Linked DNA regions of Arabidopsis thaliana. The protein of the gene in region 4 interacts with the protein of the main gene of each other region in a pairwise test. Each region holds a gene or a part of one and is shown on either strand. Other genes may lie near its edges. The genes, in order: SAUL1, PUB14, PUB38 and RK3.

The links.
Region 1: the proteins of RK3 (region 4) and SAUL1 interact in a two-hybrid assay, tested with the Arabidopsis thaliana proteins (one study listed by BioGRID).
Region 2: the proteins of RK3 (region 4) and PUB14 interact in a two-hybrid assay, tested with the Arabidopsis thaliana proteins (one study listed by BioGRID).
Region 3: the proteins of RK3 (region 4) and PUB38 interact in a two-hybrid assay, tested with the Arabidopsis thaliana proteins (one study listed by BioGRID).

Annotation. Positions count from the first base shown.
Region 1 is NC_003070.9:7,215,017-7,221,352, reverse strand, and holds SAUL1 (senescence-associated E3 ubiquitin ligase 1), read right to left. Parts: upstream 4,333-6,336; 5' UTR 3,948-4,332; exon of another isoform or gene 3,560-3,947; 5' UTR 3,542-3,559; coding exon 3,005-3,541; intron 2,909-3,004; coding exon 2,599-2,908; intron 2,303-2,598; coding exon 744-2,302; 3' UTR 511-743; downstream 1-510. Other genes in the region: AT1G20790 (F-box family protein), read left to right, coding at 1-392; AT1G20770 (coiled-coil protein), read left to right, coding at 4,705-4,872, 5,151-5,268, 5,391-5,537, 5,621-5,670, 5,761-5,848, 5,932-6,008. UniProt on the Arabidopsis thaliana protein: Functions as an E3 ubiquitin-protein ligase. Prevents premature senescence probably by targeting proteins involved in this process for degradation. Promotes the degradation of AAO3 and thus represses abscisic acid (ABA) biosynthesis.
Region 2 is NC_003074.8:20,319,688-20,324,524, forward strand, and holds PUB14 (plant U-box 14), read left to right. Parts: upstream 1-1,665; 5' UTR 1,666-1,836; coding exon 1,837-2,118; intron 2,119-2,364; coding exon 2,365-2,481; intron 2,482-2,569; coding exon 2,570-2,983; intron 2,984-3,075; coding exon 3,076-4,161; 3' UTR 4,162-4,333; downstream 4,334-4,837. Other genes in the region: ARA6 (Ras-related small GTP-binding family protein), read left to right, coding at 1-7, 104-209, 523-612, 717-803, 1,054-1,095; ATVPS33 (Sec1/munc18-like (SM) proteins superfamily), read right to left, coding at 4,599-4,688, 4,781-4,837. UniProt on the Arabidopsis thaliana protein: Functions as an E3 ubiquitin ligase with specific E2 ubiquitin-conjugating enzymes. Undergoes auto-ubiquitination.
Region 3 is NC_003076.8:26,047,524-26,051,868, forward strand, and holds PUB38 (plant U-box 38), read right to left. Parts: upstream 2,524-4,345; 5' UTR 2,321-2,523; coding exon 650-2,320; 3' UTR 542-649; downstream 1-541. Other genes in the region: AT5G65180 (ENTH/VHS family protein), read left to right, coding at 1-283; AT5G65205 (NAD(P)-binding Rossmann-fold superfamily protein), read right to left, coding at 3,403-3,757, 3,843-4,002, 4,152-4,345. UniProt on the Arabidopsis thaliana protein: Functions as an E3 ubiquitin ligase.
Region 4 is NC_003075.7:11,388,315-11,394,821, forward strand, and holds RK3 (receptor kinase 3), read right to left. Parts: upstream 4,913-6,507; 5' UTR 4,777-4,912; coding exon 3,480-4,776; intron 2,599-3,479; coding exon 2,464-2,598; intron 2,375-2,463; coding exon 2,181-2,374; intron 2,103-2,180; coding exon 1,892-2,102; coding exon of another isoform or gene 1,887-1,891; exon of another isoform or gene 1,801-1,886; coding exon 1,563-1,800; intron 1,467-1,562; coding exon 1,316-1,466; intron 1,232-1,315; coding exon 905-1,231; 3' UTR 513-904; downstream 1-512. Other genes in the region: B120 (S-locus lectin protein kinase family protein), read right to left, coding at 6,144-6,461. UniProt on the Arabidopsis thaliana protein: Involved in the regulation of cellular expansion and differentiation.

The DNA.
Region 1 (6,336 bases), on a different chromosome or scaffold from region 4:
GATACGACTTGAGAGCTAACAAGTGGAGAGTTTTGGGTTCGATTCCAACGTGGTGCGATGCTGATCGAGACTTTTTTCTGTTTAAGCCGTCGTGGTCTTCTGTGATTGGATTACTGGATCAAGAACATGTACATGTGCTCATGCCCATGCCTATGCCCATGCCCATGCCCATGCCTATGCCCATGCACATGCACATGCACATGCACATGCCTATGCCCATGGCCATGCCTATGCCTATGCCCATCGCCATGGCTATGCCTATGCCTATGCCTATGCCTATGCCTATGCCCATGACCAAGACCGAGACCGAGACCGTTACCAGATCTGAAGTCATCTCATCTGTAATGGCTATTATGGGTCTGGTTAATCGTACTTTGTCTTTTATTAACTAAATTAGTTTATTTAAAGGGTGCGAAGAAAGAGTTGTTTTTGTTCTTCCCAAATCTCAAATCAGTTTGTGTGAAGCTTAAAACGTTTTACAAATTGGTTTAATCTATGAACTCAATATATATTTGATGCAAAAGTAAGCACAACTCCCTCCGCAACACACATAAGCCTTTTTAATCTGAGGCCAATCAAATGATTTCGATTTCCAACGTAGGATTTATAAACAAATAAGAATCGGAATTTACAATATATACCCAGAAAAAAACTGGATGCCTATTAACAAGTAATCCCATCAAAACAAAAACCACAGTTTTAAAATCACTATAACTCACTGGACAGTTTCAAAGAGATTTTCCCTATGCGATGTTTGGGAATATACTTGAGAAGTTTGGGATCTTATCAATGTGTTTCAACGCGTTCTCAGCGATCTGTCTCGTTCTAAAATCAGCGTTTTGGAAAGCGTCCACAAGTGCAGCGCTCAGGCTCTGTTCCTCTGCCACCTCTCTTGCTATGTCTTCAATCCGCAAGATCCTTTCCACCATCCAAACCGCTCTCCTTGTCAGCCTCTCTGTTCGGTTCTCCCTCAGAACGTTTAGTATATGCCGTATCCCATCCGCTTCATCGAGTATCTTGACCCCTTTCTCTACATCTAACCCGTCTTCTAGTAAGCTCGATAGAGCTGCAAGTGCGGCCTCAACCACTTTCACATTTTCATGGTCTAATAGAGCCACTAATTTCTCCACAGCTCCTCCTTCGACAAGGCAAAATGTTTCTCTTAATGAACATATTCCCTGGTGGATCTTGCACAGCCCGTTTACAACGTGTGGTTTTCTCACACACGAAAAGATCGAGCCACAGTAGTTCACAGGAGGCGGATCAGGCATCCGTGTCAGCTTTATAGACTCTAGTGAAAGATTCTCTAAAGCCATGGCGGACACCATCTGTATGTTATCTTGCCCGTTGGATTGGAGCAGATGAAGGAAGAGTGACGCAACATCGTGCTCACGGCAAAAGTTAATGGCCCGAGCCTCTTTGTTGAAAACAAAAGTAATCCTAGCAAGTATACGCACAAGTCCTTCCAGAAAAGGATTCACAAACCTCATTCCCTTGATATCCCCTTGGCGGATTCCAAACACTTTGGATATGATTTTTTCAAAAGCACCAACTTCTAACATTTCCTGAGTAAGACCCAAATCCCTATCTGGCAATTCAGCTAAGAGCCCAGCAGCAGCAGCCTGTTCTTCAGTGATTGGTGTCTTTTCTGAAATGATAGCAACAAGGCTTCCGAGTTGTCCAGCAGTGCCACATAAGGCCTTAGCTAGTTCTTCACTCATGAATGGGGAAAGGTTATGAAGAAGCTTTATGGAAGCCAACCGCAAATCATCATTCTCTCGGACCTCTATAAACTGAACCAAACTGATGATTGCACCGGAGGTTTTAATTGCATAAACAACTTTTGGAACTGTTTTTGGGCAACTGGTGAGTCCAACAAGAACCTCCAACAGCTTGCACTGGATCGCTGGACCTGTGTTGCTAATTAGATGGAGCAGATTCTCCACTCTGTTCTCTGAAACAAGAGTGGCTTTGTCAAAGTCATACCCGATGTTCACTATGTTAGCAAGAATAGTGGCAGAGACTTCTTTCAACCGAATTGGAAGGTTGTTTGGCCCCACATAAAACAGATCTTTGATAAGTGGGGGGAGAATTCCTTTGCTGATCAAGACCTTAGCACTCCCTTCGAACGATGAGATTTTGTTAAGAGCTTTCAAGGCAGCTTCCCGTTGGGGCATGTCACCACTTCTCATAAGATCGACAAGAGAAGAACCCACAGTCTGAGCCACAAGAACCTTCACATCGTTATTTAAGGGAAGCTCCCCGAGAAAGGAAGCCATAGAGAGTTTTGTTTCAGGTGAACCTGCAGATTTCACATGTGGTGTCATTATTCATACAAGAAATTTGCCATATAACAGAGGAAAATAATGAAAGATTTGACCATCTGGGTAGAAGAAAATTGACTCTTCTTACAAGCGAACATGTAAAATTCCTAGAGCAAACAAATTCTAAGGCAGAATACCATAACACTGTGATGCATCCGAACAACTGAAGGAAGAATTTTACCAACTGAAGGAAGATGATAACTTGTTTTATGCAAATGAAGTAGAGAGCGTAATTGTTATATTAAAACCAAACAAAGAAAAGAAATTCTTTCACCTTCAAGGAGTTTGCCTAGAAGAGGCTGGAGTCTACCATATGAAGCCATCTGCCTAACAATTTCCTCTGACCTCTCCATATTTTCCAAGGTTCTATCAGCTTTCTCAACAATTGAAACATTTTCTGAGTTGCTGCTTGTCAGACCAACCAATAATATTAGTGCTCCATGAATGGAACCAATCTTCTCGCACAAAGCTTCTGATTTAGAGAGCTCAAACAGCAAGGAAACAGCTGCCTCCCTCCCCTTTGATGGCTCATGTGATAAGAACTTAACTAGTGTACGCACAGTGTCCCCTTCAGCTACTATCGCCTGCAAGATGCTGAAAATTTAATTAGCACCCGCTCAATTTCCCATTAAAATGCTACACTAAATATTCAGCAGAGATGAAAAGAAATCAGATTCAACCTTGCTCTCATCATCTCCTTCAACGACAACTTGCAGAGTTTGTAGAGCCTTATACCGCACTCTATGGCTAGTACTTTTTAACATGTCGATGATCATATGGATAAGCTGAGAGTTGCGTACACCATGCCTATTTGATCGGATGGTCCTGCAAATCTGTCGCACATGCATCAAAGCTTGCAAAATATCTGTCTCAGCATTCCCTAAAAACAGTGACTGACGAGCAATGTCAAGCTTGGCAGCATCATTCCTGGATCTCCACTCTTCGATAGTGTTACGCAGAGCTATGCTGGCGCTTACATCAGTGCTAGTCAGCTCCTGAGATGTCAAAGGGCAAGAAGGAGGTCTCCCACTGTCCCGACACTCCTTGAACCATTTCTCAATGGCTTCACGCTCGAATGTTCGACCATTCTCTAAAGTGACAGGATCATGCATAACCTCCTTTGTCAATGGGCAGATGAATGCTTCATAGATATGATCTACTCCTCGCTCAAAATGAGAGCTATCATCTGACTGGTCACCATCCGAGCTTCCAACCATCTTAATCCTTCAAACTCACTGCAAATGTACAAGCAAATACCTCATTGTTATGAAACATAGGATCCTAGATGAAAACCCACTTGGATACATCAATGCAAGAGAGTCTGGTAAGAAAGTGTCGAAATTTGATAGTAAATGAATGAGAAAGTTTTGGAAACACAAAAAGGGATAGTACCACAGTTTGGTTCCCGGATTCTTTCACAGCCAAGGAAACAAAATTCAAACTTTCAATCATAACTATAACCTAAAATACGAAAAGTAACAGTGTCCCAAAATCATCACTCCCATGAACCCTTATATAGCAAGATTACCAAATTTAGCAATATTCGTCAAAAAGATAAAGAAGAGAAACAACGTCTCATGAAGCATTTCAAAAATACCAAAAGAGATAAAAAAAAAAGCACACCAGCCTGTTCCAGTTGAAGAAGCGCCTCCTCAAAGCTATACAGAGAAGGGAAAAGAAAAAACCAAAGTTGATTCTTCTTCTGAAGTTGACAATTCGAAAACGACCACTTCTTCAAAAATCTCCTTGAGCTAAAAACGCGCGAGAAAGTGTGAGTTCTTCTTCATCCATGGATCTAATTGCAAGCAATCGAGCTTGCCTCCTACTAAAATCTCGAGCAGAGTTGATTCTATCCCCGTGCGAGAACGAGAGAGACAGGTAAAAGCGAGAGGAAATAACAGAGAAGAAGATGGGTTGAAGAAAAAATCGAATTTTTAAGAGAAAAGCACGAAAGGTTGACTAAAATCGAAAAGTCATGTGAGAGAGAGAGATAGAGAGAGACGTGGAGCCACCAAACGCCAACTTGACAAACTGAGACAAACAGCCTGGCGCTGTGTTCACACACACTCGACTTGCTCTACCCACCCACCCATAAACATAACCGGTTTGACCCGAAAGAGGTAATCTTTCGACTTGGGCTATTGGTATTAATGGGCCTTTATTAATTGGATATTACGAAAATAGCCTCGTTTGATCCGTCTTTGTTTCGATCGCTTTACGTTGTCTTCTACTTGGGCTATTGGGCCTTTACTAATTGAAATATTACGAAAATAGCCTCGTTTACTCGAGAAATTGATCTGTCTCTGTTTCGATCGCTTTACGTTGTCTTCCTCGTGTAAGCTTCGATTTGTTGATTCGCGTGTGTTGGAGCTAAATTTCGATGGCGGAGATTTACGAGGAAGGAGATGAATCAGTGGATGTGAATAAAGAATCAGAAGTGAAAACTGAGCTGGGAAAAGGGGGAGGAGATGAGAATGTTTTGCAGTTTCTAGATTCGTTGGATGGATATTTAACGCTTATGGATTCTGTGAATTCTAAGCTTCGAGAGGTAATTGGAATGATATTTGGTGTATTGAGCTAAAATGGGATCTTATGGGAATGATTCTTATGTTCTGATGTATAGATGACTTGAGATATTCTGTGTTGAATTGAATTGAATCTGGGATTAAAAAGGATTGCGTGGGAAACGTTTTCGTTGATTATCTAGCTATAGTAGCCATGAGGAGAAACTTTTTTGTGGATTCATATCACTGATATGATGAGAGTGAGAGTCTGCTGCCTTAATTAACTTATTTGGTATGGAACTGAAATGTGTTATTTTTGCAGGGATGGTTTGATCTAGCTAGTGCTCGACATTCTATGGGAACTTTACGCATCAACAGCACTCTCTTAGATCTTAAGTATCATCCCGCTTCTTCAACATTGCAAGTGACTGACCAAGATGGTAAGTTTGGCTTATGCTTTGGGCGTTTGATAGTTCAATGGTTTACGTTTATATGCTATGAATTTATGTTTTTTTTGCGGGGAAGCAACTTATATACAGTGTATGTCTATGGACTCTTGTAGTTGAATCTTTGGGATCAGTACCTCATTTTGCTTTGTCCAAGTGGGCTTCCAAGGGCGGTAGCAGGAAAGGCAAAGACTTCTCTACTGATACAGATTCGGAGATAGGCTCACCTCTCAGCCCACAGCTACGACATCGAGGAGTTTCTGGTAAAAAAAGACTCATCTGTTGGTTATTCTCTGCCCTTTGTTTGTCGGTGTTTCATCATCTCTTGCTTTATGTAATTCGATAGAAGAGAAACCATCAGCCAAGGATGAAACCGTTTTAGCAGCTGATGAAGAGGTGAGCAATCATTTAACCGTCTGCAGAAACTCTACTTGTTTTCAAAATGTAGGACGATGGTTTTACTAATTCGAATGTGTTGAGCTCCAGATAAAGAAAGAACGGGCAAAATCTCTGTCAGTATTTGGAGGTCTAGTCTCTCCTAAGCTGCGTGGCGCTCAACAATCATTTGAAACAGGTAACATCCTCATCACCACAAGTATACTCAAAGGAAGATTCCAGTTTACAACTGAAACTCTTTTTTCTCTCGTCTTTGGACAGCTCTTGAAACTCTGGTGGAAATAGCCAACATGCGTGCATCGATGATATCTGCCTTTGAGCGGATCACAGAGAAGTGAAGTTCCTTGGTAACAACTGATCCTGAAATGTGCTCAGTGGATTCAACGGAAACAGAATGGAGCCAACCTCAAAGACTGATGTTACATTGATCATAGCAGTTTGATGCTGCGAAAATCATATCTTCTTCGAGTCAGAGGGTTAGAATGTACCAATGCATTAGCTCGATTTTCAATTTTGTAGCTACCACCTTCAAGTGTATCTGTTTTGATTTGGTTAAATGTTACCAGAAGTTCTTACAAGACCTCGAGCTAAGGATATATCAAAATAATAAAACATTTTGGAGAAGAGAAACAGTAAAAATGGAGAAAAATAAAATCATTTCATTGT
Region 2 (4,837 bases), on a different chromosome or scaffold from region 4:
AGGAGAGGTATTAAACCCTTCATGCAGATTTGTATTGCTTATTTTATTAGATAAACGCTTTGCAAACTTACTAGGATTTAACCTGCATTCACTTTATTTTTAGGTATTCTGCTCTTGCACCACTATACTACCGTGGAGCTGGAGTTGCTGTTATTGTGTATGATATAACAAGCCCTGAATCGTTCAAGAAAGCACAGTATTGGGTTAAGGTATGTTTTCAGGGGGTTCAAAAGGTTCCATTTCGTTCATGTTTCTAGGATTCGTGCAATAGCTTCCGAGCTATATCTTTACCAGGACTGAAAATTAGAGTTACAGACAGTCATATAGCCAACAGCACTCCTGTCTGTGTATATAATGGGTATCATTTAGTTGGGCAACTGGTTTACTTCTCTGACATTTTTGTTCCATTAATTTGCACTCGTTGCTACCATGAAGCCATTTGGCACAACTCCGTGCAGGAAAGATATCAACATTATATTGAATCTAGTGCTATTGTTTTACCCCTGCCCATAAATCTAACAGGAACTGCAAAAGCATGGAAGCCCAGATATTGTTATGGCTCTGGTTGGTAACAAAGCTGATCTACATGAAAAAAGAGAAGTACCTACTGAGGTGAGTTTGCGTAAACGTCTTCATCTAGATTCCGTAGCGCATTTTGTTGTCACTTTCATTGTCCTTGCTTCTTCAGTGGTATCACATTTTCAATTTCTTAACAGGATGGAATGGAGCTTGCAGAGAAGAACGGCATGTTCTTCATTGAGACGTCAGCCAAGACAGCCGATAACATAAATCAACTGTTTGAGGTGTGCACTTCTTTCTTGCCTCTGATTTATGATCGATTTTCTTGTCCTCTGCATTTATTGAGATCTTATTATCCGTTTCTTTCATTGCTTTGGAATTGGAGGATGGAAAAGTGATAGGCAGTGATATGCAGCTAGATATGAGATTTAATTTCTTGTAGTTTGTGGAGGATAATAGTTTTGGATGCAGAAAGATGGATTAATACGAAGTATATGAGATTTTAACTTGTTGTAGTGTACACATGTCTGATAGGAAATTGGCAAGAGGCTACCTCGTCCTGCTCCTTCGTCATGATTGGAGTGTTGAATCATCTCATCTTCAGCCATGTCTTCAGACTACTAATCTTTCCATACTTTTTAATGTAATGTTTCAAAACAATATTTCTCTATCTGTTAAGTCAAGTGTGTTGTATAATGTGAAGATTTGAGTTTGAAACTGGGGATATTACGAACCTCAAAAGTGGAAACCCAAGTTATATCAAGCAATGGATCATCAGTACATATTTTAGTGGGATTCATCAGAAGTAGAGAAGAGTAAAGCTTCATTCAAATGATTCAATGCATGTATAGTTTGTGGGAGAGACTATTGCAGCCAATTCTAACAAAACCTAAATCAAGAAATTATTTGACAATTTCAAAGAGACTAACAAACAGGTAGAGAAATCCATTATACAAAGGATTTGACTTTTGATGATTTCAGATGCAAATACAAACTTAAAAACTTTATATATTTGTATTGGTCAACCTTAATATCATAAATTTATAGTTGAGGCAATAAATAAATATGAAAATCTAAATGCAATGTTTAAATATTAAAATTTAACGGCAAAATAAAATAGAAAAAATTATGATTGGTCTGAAAATGGACAAAATGAGACTTTTCATGTCCAAATAGGTGTTTATTGTCACGTTGATGAGAAGACTATTTCGTTCCATAGCATTTCTGTTCCTCCTCTTGGTTTTTTGGGTTTCTTCTTCCTCGTCTTGGTTTCGTTAAAACCCTTTTGAAGCCCTCTGGAACAGTAAAATCTGAGGGATGGGATTAACGAATTGTTGTTCCCACGAGGAGCTAATGAGTCGACTCGTTGACTCCGTTAAAGAAATATCAGGGTTTTCATCTTCAAGGGGTTTTATTGGGAAGATCCAAGGCGATCTTGTTCGTAGGATCACGCTTCTCAGCCCTTTCTTCGAGGAATTGATTGACGTCAATGTTGAATTGAAAAAGGATCAGATTACAGGGTTTGAGGCTATGAGAATCGCTCTTGATTCAAGTCTTGAGCTTTTTCGATCGGTTAATGGAGGAAGCAAGCTTTTTCAGGTTACTCATTTACTTGCTCTGTTTTATTTGTATTTATATCTTTGGTAGCTGGCAAAAGTTGGCAATTTCCTTTGTTTTCTCTTCGAGGGTTTAAGATTTTGGTGTTTAGGGTTTTGTTGTTTGTCTTTGTCTTCTTTAACAATATCAAGAATTTGGGTTTTGTCTTGTTTCTCTTATTTTGGGATGAATCAAATTGAGTCTGATAACAAGAAGTTGAGACCTTTTTCGTGTTCTCTCTGCTGGCAGCTTTTCGATAGAGATTCTCTTGTGGAGAAGTTCCGTGACATGACAGTGGAGATAGAAGCAGCGTTAAGTCAGATTCCTTATGAGAAGATTGAGGTATCAGAGGAAGTCAGAGAACAGGTACTTCTCAATGCATTGATTTAAGGAGGGCTATATTTTTCTGTTGATTAAAATCTGAATTCTAATGATAAGCTCTCTGAATTTGTAGGTTCAGCTTCTGCATTTTCAGTTCAAGAGAGCAAAAGAAAGATGGGAGGAGTCTGATCTACAGCTTAGCCATGATCTAGCTATGGCAGAGAATGTGATGGATCCTGACCCTATAATCCTCAAAAGACTTTCACAAGAGCTCCAACTTACTACCATTGATGAGCTGAAGAAAGAATCGCATGCGATACATGAGTATTTTCTTTCATATGATGGAGATCCTGATGACTGTTTCGAGAGGATGTCTTCACTTCTTAAAAACCTGGTAGACTTTGTAACAATGGAAAGTTCAGACCCTGATCCATCCACTGGCAGCAGAATCGTTTCGAGACATCGTTCTCCTGTTATACCAGAGTATTTTCGGTGTCCGATATCACTTGAACTGATGAAGGATCCTGTTATCGTCTCCACTGGACAGGTCTGGCTTTGCAAGTTTCGTTGTGCATTGTAGTGAATTTGATTATTAAACTTGTGTATTTGTTGTTATAGCTGAATTTTTCGACCTTGCAGACATATGAAAGATCATCAATTCAGAAGTGGCTTGATGCTGGTCATAAAACATGTCCGAAATCTCAGGAGACACTTTTACATGCTGGATTAACCCCTAATTATGTGTTAAAGAGTCTCATTGCTTTGTGGTGTGAAAGCAACGGCATTGAGCTACCGCAAAATCAAGGGAGCTGTAGAACCACAAAAATAGGAGGAAGCAGCTCTTCAGATTGTGATCGAACATTTGTCCTTTCCTTGTTAGAGAAATTGGCCAACGGTACTACAGAACAGCAAAGAGCTGCAGCTGGAGAATTAAGGTTACTAGCCAAGAGGAACGTGGATAACAGAGTTTGTATCGCTGAGGCTGGAGCCATACCACTCCTTGTAGAGCTTCTATCCTCACCAGATCCTCGGACTCAGGAACATTCTGTGACAGCTCTTCTGAATCTTTCCATAAATGAAGGGAACAAAGGAGCCATTGTTGATGCAGGAGCCATAACGGATATAGTAGAAGTCCTAAAGAACGGAAGCATGGAAGCTAGAGAGAACGCTGCTGCAACCCTTTTCAGTTTATCTGTTATAGATGAAAACAAAGTGGCAATAGGTGCTGCTGGAGCTATCCAAGCACTTATAAGCTTGCTTGAGGAAGGAACCCGAAGAGGCAAAAAAGATGCTGCTACAGCGATTTTCAACTTATGCATATACCAGGGGAACAAATCAAGGGCGGTTAAAGGCGGTATTGTTGACCCTCTGACCAGATTACTGAAAGATGCAGGTGGCGGAATGGTGGATGAGGCTCTGGCCATTTTAGCAATTCTTTCAACTAACCAAGAAGGGAAAACAGCGATAGCTGAAGCAGAATCTATCCCGGTTTTGGTTGAGATTATAAGGACAGGGTCACCAAGGAACCGGGAAAATGCTGCAGCAATACTTTGGTATCTATGTATTGGGAATATAGAAAGGCTAAATGTAGCAAGAGAGGTTGGTGCAGATGTGGCCTTGAAGGAACTTACTGAGAATGGCACTGATAGAGCAAAGAGGAAAGCTGCGAGCTTGTTGGAGCTTATTCAGCAAACCGAAGGTGTTGCAGTAACTACTGTTCCATGAAAGCCTCGCTCTTTTGGAATGTTATTTGTTTCAGTGTAGATTATATGTATAGGAACCTTTGGTTTGAGTCTGACATAAGAATCTTATGTAATGATGTTATATGTAATTTTCGACTCAGAGTTGTGTATATCTATTTGATATTTAAAAGTAAAAGTAACCCTATTATTTACTGTTTCACACTCTCGATTTGCTTGAGAATTAGGGAGAAGTAAAGCCGTATATAACTAGCAGAAGTTGAAGTGAAAGGTTGTACCAAGAAAACATTATTGAATTTGTATAATCACGCTGTATCTCAACCATTTAATATACACATACACATACGCATACCATTCACTCTGCAACCACAATGATCCAGAAAAATAAACAAAGACATACAAAAAATGAATTAATAAACACACTCGAAAGAGAAAAGATGAACATAACGCTCAGTTTACGGATCAGCCTAGTTTTTCCATGAATGTTTCTATCAACGTTGCGCCGTTGACGATTTTTGTTGTGGCAACAATCAAATCATAAGCCATTCCTTCCTGATAAAATTTTATGCAGAAGCAAGAATGGAGGATTCAGCGGACAAAAAGAGTGTTTTTTTTATGGTAAACTTTTGAAGTTTGATATATACCTTAGAGGCGAGATACCGTAAAGCAGAGATTTCAGCAAATGTTACACCTCCAATGAA
Region 3 (4,345 bases), on a different chromosome or scaffold from region 4:
AACCAAATCAAACACCTCAGACACAAATGCATTTGTTGTTCCTCCAAATCCTCAGCAGTATCACATAATACCAAATCCAGCCGCATCACAACAGTTTCCTTATGGATTTGGTAACATTCCATTAATGCCACCTGGAGCACTGCCGCCACCGCCGCCTGGAACGTTGCCGCCGCATATGATGAATAATAACAACCAACCAAATGCAGCTCAGCAACAAGCGCAACAAGGTCAGAGTTTTCATCCACCGGGTATGATGTATTTTGGACCTCCACACCATTCTTAAGGTTAGTAAAAACAAACCAAAAAATCCAATTAGTTCTAGTATTAGATAGTTTCTGACCCACTTTATTTTATTTCATGTAACGCATATTGTAGAAAGTAGAAACGAGATCTTTTGTCTTACAAATCTTGTACCTTGAGCTGTTTAGTCAATTTTTCTTCTTTGTAACATAGTTAGACTTCTATTGTGTATCTGCGTTACATTTATATCTAGTATGCGTTTGTTTCAAATGGATCTTTTATATATTGTACAAAATATATATACATCAGTCATGCTTTTTTTCTCACATATTTCAAGTCAAGTTTACAAAAAATTTCAATCACAAAACATTTTGAATGTCTACTATACAACAACAAATGGAATGGAACTTTAGAAGCCAGAGGAGTTTTGAGTGACCACTCTGTTTCTACCACCAACTCGGAATCTAGACCTAATTGAGCCGTTGGAGTCGATAACTCGGTCCCAATCAATTGATCCTTCGCCATCTTCTTCATCATCCTCCGGCACTCTTTCTCTCATCAGCTGAAGAATCTTCTTTGCTTTCTCTCTAGCTCTCTCTGTTCCTCTCTCTTCCACTTCCTTCAACACTTCCACTGCTCTCGCCTCCTTCGCTAGTCCTTTGAATCGAAGACTCTCGTGGCTCAATGCGAACAACGCCGCTACGCAATTCTCACGAGCCGATGACGATGACCGGGCCTCTGTCGGCTCCTCCGTCCACTCCTCCCTTAACTTCCCTACAAGAATCGCAACCGCATTCGCATCAAGCATCGCCGATCTTCCTTCACTACAACACGCTAAATTACAGATCACCAACAATGCCCTGCTCGCCGATTCACCGGACCTAACCATCGAGAAAAGCGCTGGTACCGCTCCAAGCCTAACGAGCTTTGATCGATTCGTCTGATTCAACGTCAAATGGTAAAGCGCGAGAGCCGAATCATGCCGCGTCCGATCACTCTCAGCTGCACGTAACGCGTGAAGCAATGGCTGAAGCGCTCCTAAAACTCCAATAGGCATTTTATTATCATCTTCAAGAGAAAGACTAAAGATTGTTCCAGCTGCGTGTTCTTGAGCTTCTCTAGACCCCGACTTCAGAACATCGATCAAAATCGGAACAAATCCTAACCGAACAATCGTCAATTTGTTCTTCTTATCCAAAGACAGATTCACAAGCGACGCTAACGCGTTCGTCTGCACTAAACTGTATCTCGAAACAATCATATTCTTCAACAAAGAAAGAATCCGAGGAGAACAAAGCGAAACCCTAGCTTCATCATTAGTACGAGTCATCTTCCTCATCATAATCAAACCTTGCTCTTGATCAAAAATCTCACTGCTCTTAAGCTTGTTGTAAATCACTTCGTCCTCTTCTGTGGCGGTGGAAGTAGAATTAGAGAAGAAAGTGTGGTGCGTTAGGGTTTCGATTTCGGAGGAAGAAGATGATGGAGATGGAGAGAAGCAAGCGGGTCTAGTTGTTAAAGGAAGAGGAGTGAATGGACTGTGAGCAACGATTACAGATTCATCAGAAGAGGTCGTGGAGTTGTTGAAATCTCTCCTTCCCATGAGTTCAGAATCAGCGTGGTGAATTATCATCGGAGCTCGGTGAGCTACAGCTCTGAGAAGCTCTTGCTCGGAGACACGAATCTCGACGTCCGGTGGAGGCATCTGTTGCCGTAAAATTCTCTCGACGGTGGAGTAATCAGGTGGCTGAGGACGTGAGACGCCGACGGTGTCGCACCAAGTATCGATTGTTGATTTCATGTTTAGGTTAGGGATGATGTTGGAGAAATCGGGTAGAGATTCTTCGTCGTCGTTGAGTTTGGGGATAAAGTTGAGGTCGCGACAGACTTGAACACAGACACGTTCGAAGGTTTGACCGGAAGAGACAACAACAGGGTCAGACATTACTGATTTTGAAATCGGACAGAGAAATTCGACCGGAGGTTGTTGTTCTTGTTGCTGTTGTCGTGAAGATGAAGAGGTTGAAGAAGACGATCTGTGGCTGAAAGGATTCCATCTGAGCCGTCCGTTTTTACCCATCTGCGACAAATCAACGGTCAGGAATTGGTGGTGAGTTTGATTTCTGAAAAGGGTTTTGGGTTTTATGGAGAGGAATTAGGGATTTGAATTCATCTTTCGTGATTTTCTGAGAAGAAGAAGAAAGATGAGAAGAGAGGAGAGTCGTCTTCTTCCTCCTGAACTGAAGGACTTTGTGGCCTACTGACTTTTTTTTTTTGGCTTTTGTTTATTTTCGAAGTGACTATTAATTTTTTTTTTAAAAACTTGAACATATTAGTAGTAATCGAAAATGTTGACTGTGAAATTAATATAGGTGGACCCAGATGTGAATTGGCTTTCATAGTTCATGCATTCTGAAAAGTTTTATTGCTTTCTTTTTCAGGTCAATTTTGTTCATATACTTTTCTTAAAAACATATCTTTTAACTTACGTACTTATAAACTTGGAATGTAATTTATCATTTTGGAATGTAATCTAATTTGTTTTAAAAGGATGACAATACAGTGATACACTGAAATATGTGGCATCAATAAGTTTAATTTTTGCTGAATAATAAAATGATTAGATTTTTCACTAAACATGATGGACATCCATGCCATTCTTAGCTTTAGGGGAAAAAAACTTTTCTCAGTTTTAGCTGTAAGCTTTACATTGAACCTCTGACCACTTTTTATCTTGTCCTCTGATGATGCATTGTTGGGTTGCAAGTTGCATCACAGATGATATGACATTTCCCCTACAAATCTTTGTACCAAAAACCAAAGTATAAGGGTAGTCTAGTAGACAATCTGGCTTTACGGTTTTATCTTGTTTCGAATTAAGTTTTACCTGTTTTATACAAACCAAAATCGAATAAAAACTCATTTTTAGTTCGATTTGGTTTTGGTTCGGCCTTTTGGATCTTTTACTATAAATGTAACATGGTTAGGCACTGTTTTTTTTGTTTATAACCAAGTTTCTGCTTAGCCACTGTTTTGTTTTTGTTTTTGCACACCCTACCAAAGTAGTACCTTGATTAATCCTTTTACTAAAGATGTAACATGGTTAGGCAACACATTTACTTTGTTGGATACATTTAAAACAGTTTCTAACCAAGAACACAACTATTCAGGTTTTACTCCCTTTTTCATAAAACTCTTAGTCAACAGAAAATCTTTCATGAAAATCGGTATATGGTGCATGATCGCCATGACTGTAGATAACCTACCTGTAGAGTACCAAGCCGGTGGGTTTTTCTTCAGCACCACGGAAACAGTCTCTTTCGCAAAAGTCTCTGTGGGTATCGGCTTTATGTTTTGCGACAGAAACGCTCTCTCACGGATAGCGTCCTCGAACGGTTTGTATAGTTTCAATTCAGGTAAATTGTTGAAACTCGATATCCCTGAGTTAGCTATGTTTGATTGAATACCTCCTGGTACAATGTTGATTACATCAATCCCAAATGGCTTAAGCTCCAACCTAGACAAACACAAAACAAGATAGTGTTTACTGTTTAGATGATATTAATCAAGCTGATGAAAAGAGACTGCTGAAATCGAAAAACCTTAAAGTGTCGGTAAGAGCATGAAGAGCAGCTTTTGATGCAGTATAAACCCCAGCCCATGGTCCTGGTGCCATTATGCTAATACTTCCTATGTTCACAATCTTTCCCTTTTTCTTAGACGCCATGTGAGGTACAACAGCTTGAGTCATCCTCATGGAACCTGCAAAGTTTCTTTACAAAGTTCAGTTCTTGAAGAGACTTCTCACAACCCAAATCAACAGAGCAAAATAAAACATGAAAGAGTTGAGTCAAGAATTTTAACAAACACATGGTGTGCATATAAGAAGTAACTCGAAAATTTTCATTCACCGAGCACATTGGTGTTGAAGGTGTAATCCATGGCTGAAATTGGAATCTCCGCCAAAGGTCCGATACACTGAACTCCGGCGTTATTAACCAAAACATCAATCTGACCAAATTTGTCGATAACTTTCGACACAACTTTACTCACGCTCTGCTCAGACTGAACATCGAGCTCTTGCACAAAGAACTTGGAATCTTTC
Region 4 (6,507 bases):
AACCCGACCAAAAAAAATCATCTCTCAAGAAATTAATTATCTATGCTAAATATTCTAAATTTCTAAACTCTCATTTAAAATTTAAATTAGCAAGCATTCATGTCAATATTAATGTGCTCATAAATCACAATTCTGTATATCAACTATCATTATTAAAGGACGAGCTACTCATCAAAGGTTAATTAAGGAATTTTGACAGAACACTTTTGATGCATAAAAATCCTTATGATCTAAAACAATTTTAATCAAGCCTCTCCAAACATTGAAATTGCGAACACTTTTGATGCACAAAAATCCTTATGATCTAAAACAATTTTAATCAAGCCTCTACAAACATTGAAATCACCTTGAAATGAAGGAAAATTTGAAATCACCTTAAAATGAAGGAACCATGAAGGATTTACTCTGTCATCAGTTAAAAACAAAAAATCCACTATACCCCCATGATCTTCCTAAAGCCCATAAATTAAATCCACCGGATTTTGGCCATGGTTAGCGATGGAAATAGGTGTTGCTGATCATAAAAAATTCTTATAACGTATGTACTTATTAAAAAAAAAATCTATTACAACATGTACAAACCTAATCTCAAAACGTACAACCCGAAATTCTACTAACCAACAATATTTGCCTCTTCTAGTAGCCATAATTTATAATATGAAAGTCTGAGAATCTTTCAAAATATCACATTGATGTCCTATAACTGCAGGACTATTTGGGTTATCCATAAAGCAATTACAGAATACATGCTTAATTAAGACAATTGAATCATGTAGTAACCTTTGCAACGGAGACGTACAGAGAAAATACTATGCACATAACTAATACCATCTTTCCTAGTTGATTCTTATTGTCGCTCAATTTAGTCATCTTAGTATAGAAGATTGGCTAGTTGACAGTCACATTACCGAGCATCAAGGACCGAGACAGTAATTTGGTTCACTGTCCATGATTCATCGTCGCGCTGTTTACTCGACGAAGAATCAGTGTCAAGAAGACTTCTCTCCAGGCAATAACCGGGCGCTTTAGGTTGAGGAATAGTTGTTGATTCGCTTCCGAGCATCAAAATTACCAAGGACATAGTTGGTCTGTCCTCTGCACGTTCTTGAACACACAAGAGGCCAATTTGTATGCATCTTAAGATTTCATGTTGCCTGAATGTTGATGAAGAATCTGTGATGATTGGATCTATGATCTCTAGCCCTTTTCCTTCTTTCCAATTCCTCCACACCTGTGTATAATGATCGAAATTTTTCTAGTGTTATCATTATTTTGAGTGTAAAACAAGATCAAGTTTGAGAGGTTTTTAACTTACACAACCGAGAAGGTTAAGGTCACGGTCCGAATTGTAGAATCCTTTGTTCCTCTTGCTACTTATAATCTCAAGAAGCAAGACCCCAAAACTGAAAACATCTGACTTCATCGAGAATATCCCGTCCATTGCATATTCAGGAGACATATAACCGCTGAATAACGAAGATTAGACTCAAAGTTTTGAGTTATTTTTTTTTAATTCAGATTTCAAACAAAGATTTTTAATATTTTGGAGAATGATTGCTTACTAGGTTCCAACCACCTTCCTCGTATTAGCTTCTGTCTCATCCCGTCCAAAGATCCTAGCCATTCCGAAATCCGAGATCTTTGGAGTCATATATTTATCAAGCAAGATGTTACTTGCTTTCAAGTCTCTATGGATAATTCTAAACCGTGAATCTTGGTGAAGATATAGAAGTCCTCGAGCAATACCATTGATGATATCAAATCTCATTTGCCAATTTAGCTTAGAGTTTCGGGATTTGTCTGCTAATGAATCATCACTGGATTGAGTACATTATTTTTAAAGACATTGAAAAATTGTTAGAACAGAGTTGTAAGGAGTTGAGACACTAACCAAATAGATGAGAGTCGAGGCTTAGATTTTCCAAGTACTCGTAAATCAACATCTTCTCACCCGCATCGACGCAACATGCAAGAAGCCTAACAAGGTTTATGTGCTGAAGCCTTGCAATCAACTTTACCTCATTCTTGAACTCATCAGTCCCCTGAACTGATGTCTTTGATAGTCTCTTCACTGCCATTTCTTGACCATCAAGTAACTTTCCCTGTAACCCTTAATTTTGTTACACAACGAAATATTTGTCCAGCGATAGATTATGAATTAAGTTTTCAATCATTTTTACCTTATAAACTATACCAAAACCACCTTGTCCTAGCTTGTTGGCGTTAGAAAAATTGTTTGTGGCCATGGCAACTTCTTCAAACTCCATCAATGGCAATTCGAGATCGTCTGTATTGTTTTCTCTAGATATGTGTCTCCTACTTGATATTACAACTTCGTTCATTAGCAAATCTCGGCTTCTCAGTTGATGATCAACTGTTACATACAGACACCAAAAACAGTAAAGATATTAGTTTTAAGAAATTTACAAACAAAAAGAAAGGAATTAAAATTTACAGATATACCAATAGGTGTTTCGATTAGTATTGATCGCTTCTGCTTCCTTTTCCACAAGAAGAAGATAATGAAACTTAAAAGAAGCAAAACGCTCACTCCAATACTCGAACCTATGATTTTTGCACTTCTGTTTCTTTTGTCCTCTGAAATAATGAAAAGAGATGTCAAATTGAGCACAACATTTAGGACCTCGACCATGGAAATGAATATCATTTTATAAAACAAACTAGTATTAGTCTTATGATTTAACAAAATAATAAACATTGTCGTACTTTTGATTAAAGATAAACGCCAACAAACAAAAAACAGCGTTATACTGTTATCGCCAATAAAAACAAAACATAAAGATTGGTCTACCTAAAAATAATTTCTTTTGGCTTTGGATCTACCTTACCATATTATTCTTGAGATTGATAAGTTTTTGTGAAGAATATAGTAGTAATCAAAAGTTTCACTCATGCGTTGCATCTTTTAAGAAGATTAAAAGTCCATTGGACCTTAGTTCTTTATCACAAGAGTTTTCACATATAATGCCAAGACCGAATGCGTCAACATCTCAATCAAGTTTAAGAAGTTTGAAAAGAGGGAAAATAAAACTGAAAAACGTTTTGTTAAATTCCAAATTCGTTAACCAACAACAATATAACATTGACTTGCACTATTCAACACCATTCTCACATTCTACCCCAAAAAAAAAGTGCTTTATCTAACAACCAAGTTAATTACTATTCTTGAAACCCTTAAAAAACGTTTCTTCCTTTTGTCGTTTAAGAAAATCTTTAGTATAATGTGATAGGATTACTCAATAACTTGATTGGGCAGTTTTAGCATCAATTTTTAGTCTTACTGACAAAATCTTTTATGATGTCTTTTTAGTTTCTAGTATGTATAAAACTGTTTACATGTTTTGAAAAGTGATCTTGAAGACTATTATCAACCGTTACTTAGCAAAAGTAAATATGTGGAAAATGAAAACCAAACATATGTCATTTAGTCTAATAGAGATAGTGGAGAATGAACTAACCGAGATCAGTAGCAGCCAATCTAACGTAAAGATCTTGACCACCTTTGGCATAATTCCTGATATCAAAAAGCTCTCCGGTCCAAGTCACACAACCCGACCCGCTACCCCGGATATCCGTATTCGCAAACGCCGTGCAATTACAATCTCTTAAACACTTCTGTTCACATTCTTTCACACCAATTCCTCTGTCCACACTAGCCGTGGTAGTATCCGGCAATTTCATTTTCTTCAACCGCACAAACCCATCTCCGCCACCACAGCTCAGTAGCGTCTTCCTCACGCAACCATCCGACCCGTCTCTCAATCCCCACACTTGAGGATTCCTCGGCTTAAACCCTTTAATACAATTACAAACAGGTGAAGTGTTCGAGTCGCAATAACCGTAAACACCACACTCTTTGTACTCATCACATTGGTCTTTTGGTGCGTACCAGAATTGGTTCCAATTCTGTGCTGTCTCAATCCAAGTGAATCTTTGTAACAATCCTGAGGAGCTTATGCTTAATCTCGAGTAAACGTCGCTTTTAGTGATTCTAAATGAGTAAGTCACTTCTTCTTTACTCGTAGTGAAATTGAAAACCATGTATTCAAATGGTTGCATCTCCGGTACACCACTAAACCGGATTCCATTCCATGGACCACTCCGGTACATTCGTGATTCTCTGTTCCATAGAAAAATCTCAGGGAAGCCTTCGGTTTCGAGTTTGAACGAGAAATCTCCACTTGATGGATCATCTGGAGATTTCCATGATCTAATGAATCTGTTGAACCCGGTTTTGGCATCCCAGCCAAGTTTCATCTCCGGAAGTAAAGTATCTGTCGGAAAATCAAAACTCTGCCACAAAACTCCATCTGGAGCGCTGTTCTTGGAGTCTCTGAGCACAAAATTACCATTATCAAGAAGCTCTGCCACCAATGGAGATCTCACATCTCCTCCGGTCAGATTCGTCGACCAAACCGGTGTATCGGACTGATCCAAAACGACAAGATTACTGTCGGAGATTTTGAGAGTTCCGATGGAACTAGAGAGAGGAGTGTCTCTGTTTGCAACCCATACGTAGGTTCTCTTAGAGATTGCCTTGTACCAAATTCCAAGATACCAACGAGAATCTAAACCGGGTTTGAAGAAACCAAGCTCGAAGACATTACCAGGAGACACAATGGTGTTATTGCTTGAGATAGTTAGAGATTCTGAAGCCGACAAAGTGTTGGCAGAGATAGAGTAAGCAGGGAACAGAATTAAGAGGAAGAAGAAGAAGAAGGTGTAAGAATGGTAGAAATTTGGTAAACCTCTCATTTCTCTAAACCAAGTTTTTTGTTTTTCACTCTTTCTTGAGAAAAGTATGAGAGTTTATTTCCATTGGAGATATCGGACATGTTTTGTGTAATGTGTGAACCTTACGTAACCGATTTTATTTCTGTCAATAATATATTACCTTGCTTTTTTTCTTTTCTTGGTCTTCTTGTTCGCATTTGGAAAAAATATCTAGTTATGTACTATGTGTACAGTCCAATTCATAGTTGACCTAGCAAATAAAAAGTCTTCTTCTTCTTTTTTTTTGTCAGGCTTTCTTTCCTTTTCCAATAGTCATTTTTACTTCATAAATTCAGAATTTTTCTTCAAAATATGATATTATTGATGACCATTTTTTTTAATAAATTACTTAATATATTGCTTTTTCGTATTTTATTATCAGTCAACCTTTTGTATGCATGCTTCGAGAGTTATATAAATTTCAGTGTTCTTTTTCGTAATAAATAACTCAATTTTTTTTTTATCCTTCCCAATAAGAACTTCAATGTTAGTATTCATCAAACAAACCCTACTTTAATTTATTTCCGCATTCTCCGAAGACAAAAAAGAAAGGGGTCGTTTCACGTTTTCCTGACTTTTTCTTTTTTTCTCTAACTCTAAATAATTCATCATTCCATTCAATTTAATAATGAGTCTACATTTGAATTATTCATCACCAAATATAATGTTGTCCTATGCATTTTGTTTGACGATTTTTGGCTTTGGAGCTTGGAGGAGAGGAAAATTTATGTTAACACGGTTTTAGGTATATTATATAAGTATGAAATACGAAGACCGAATACTCTTTTCACCATCAAAACAGTACTAATTACCATAGTCAACGCTCCAAAAGTCTTATTTTTGAACATCCTCATAATTCTTCGTTCCTCGTTTGATTTATATATAATAACTCTATACATAAAAATCAATCACATTTTAATTAAATTAAACACAATAATCCTACAATATTTGAAACAACTCACCTATATTTAATAGAATGAAAAACAATTATTATGATCCTCATTTCAAAACTAACCTAAATATTTTAAGACTACCACCTTTGTTATAGTATAAACGATTTATTTGAAGATTTATTTCAGATAAATGCTTTTTGATATTTTATCTGTTTTCATTTGTTTATACTTGTAAATTGATCCATTGTGATATTTTTGAAAAAGAATAGTGTGGTGATTTTTTCAAAATATCAACATCATACTGTAATAAAACCCCATTTGTAATGTTTCACTTTATGAACAAAATTTCAAGTTTCAACAACCATTACTCCATTATCCTAATTAACCAAAAAATATTATACGTTTTCACAACAATTATATAAAAAAAAACTTTACAAAAGAACAAACAAAAGAATCTTATCGTCCAAGAACAACCGTTGAAGTGATCTCATTAGAAGAAACGATGTATTGTTGGCTCGAATCAAGAGCAAAGTTGACATCAATGGAGTTTCTTCTGGTGGAAGTAAACGTTGGTTGTCTAGGCGCAGCGAGCGTCGCTGTGTCACTCTCTAACATAAGCAAAACTGAAGCCATGTTGGGTCTCTCCGCAGCCGAATCTTGAACACATAGCATCGCTACGTGTATGCATCTCAAGGCCTCTCGCTTACTGCATGTGACCCTGATCTTAGGATCCACAAGCTCCTCTGATCTCCCATGAGTATACAAATACCAAGCCTGCAAGCATTCAGTTTCCACCACTAATTAGACCATTTATAAACCA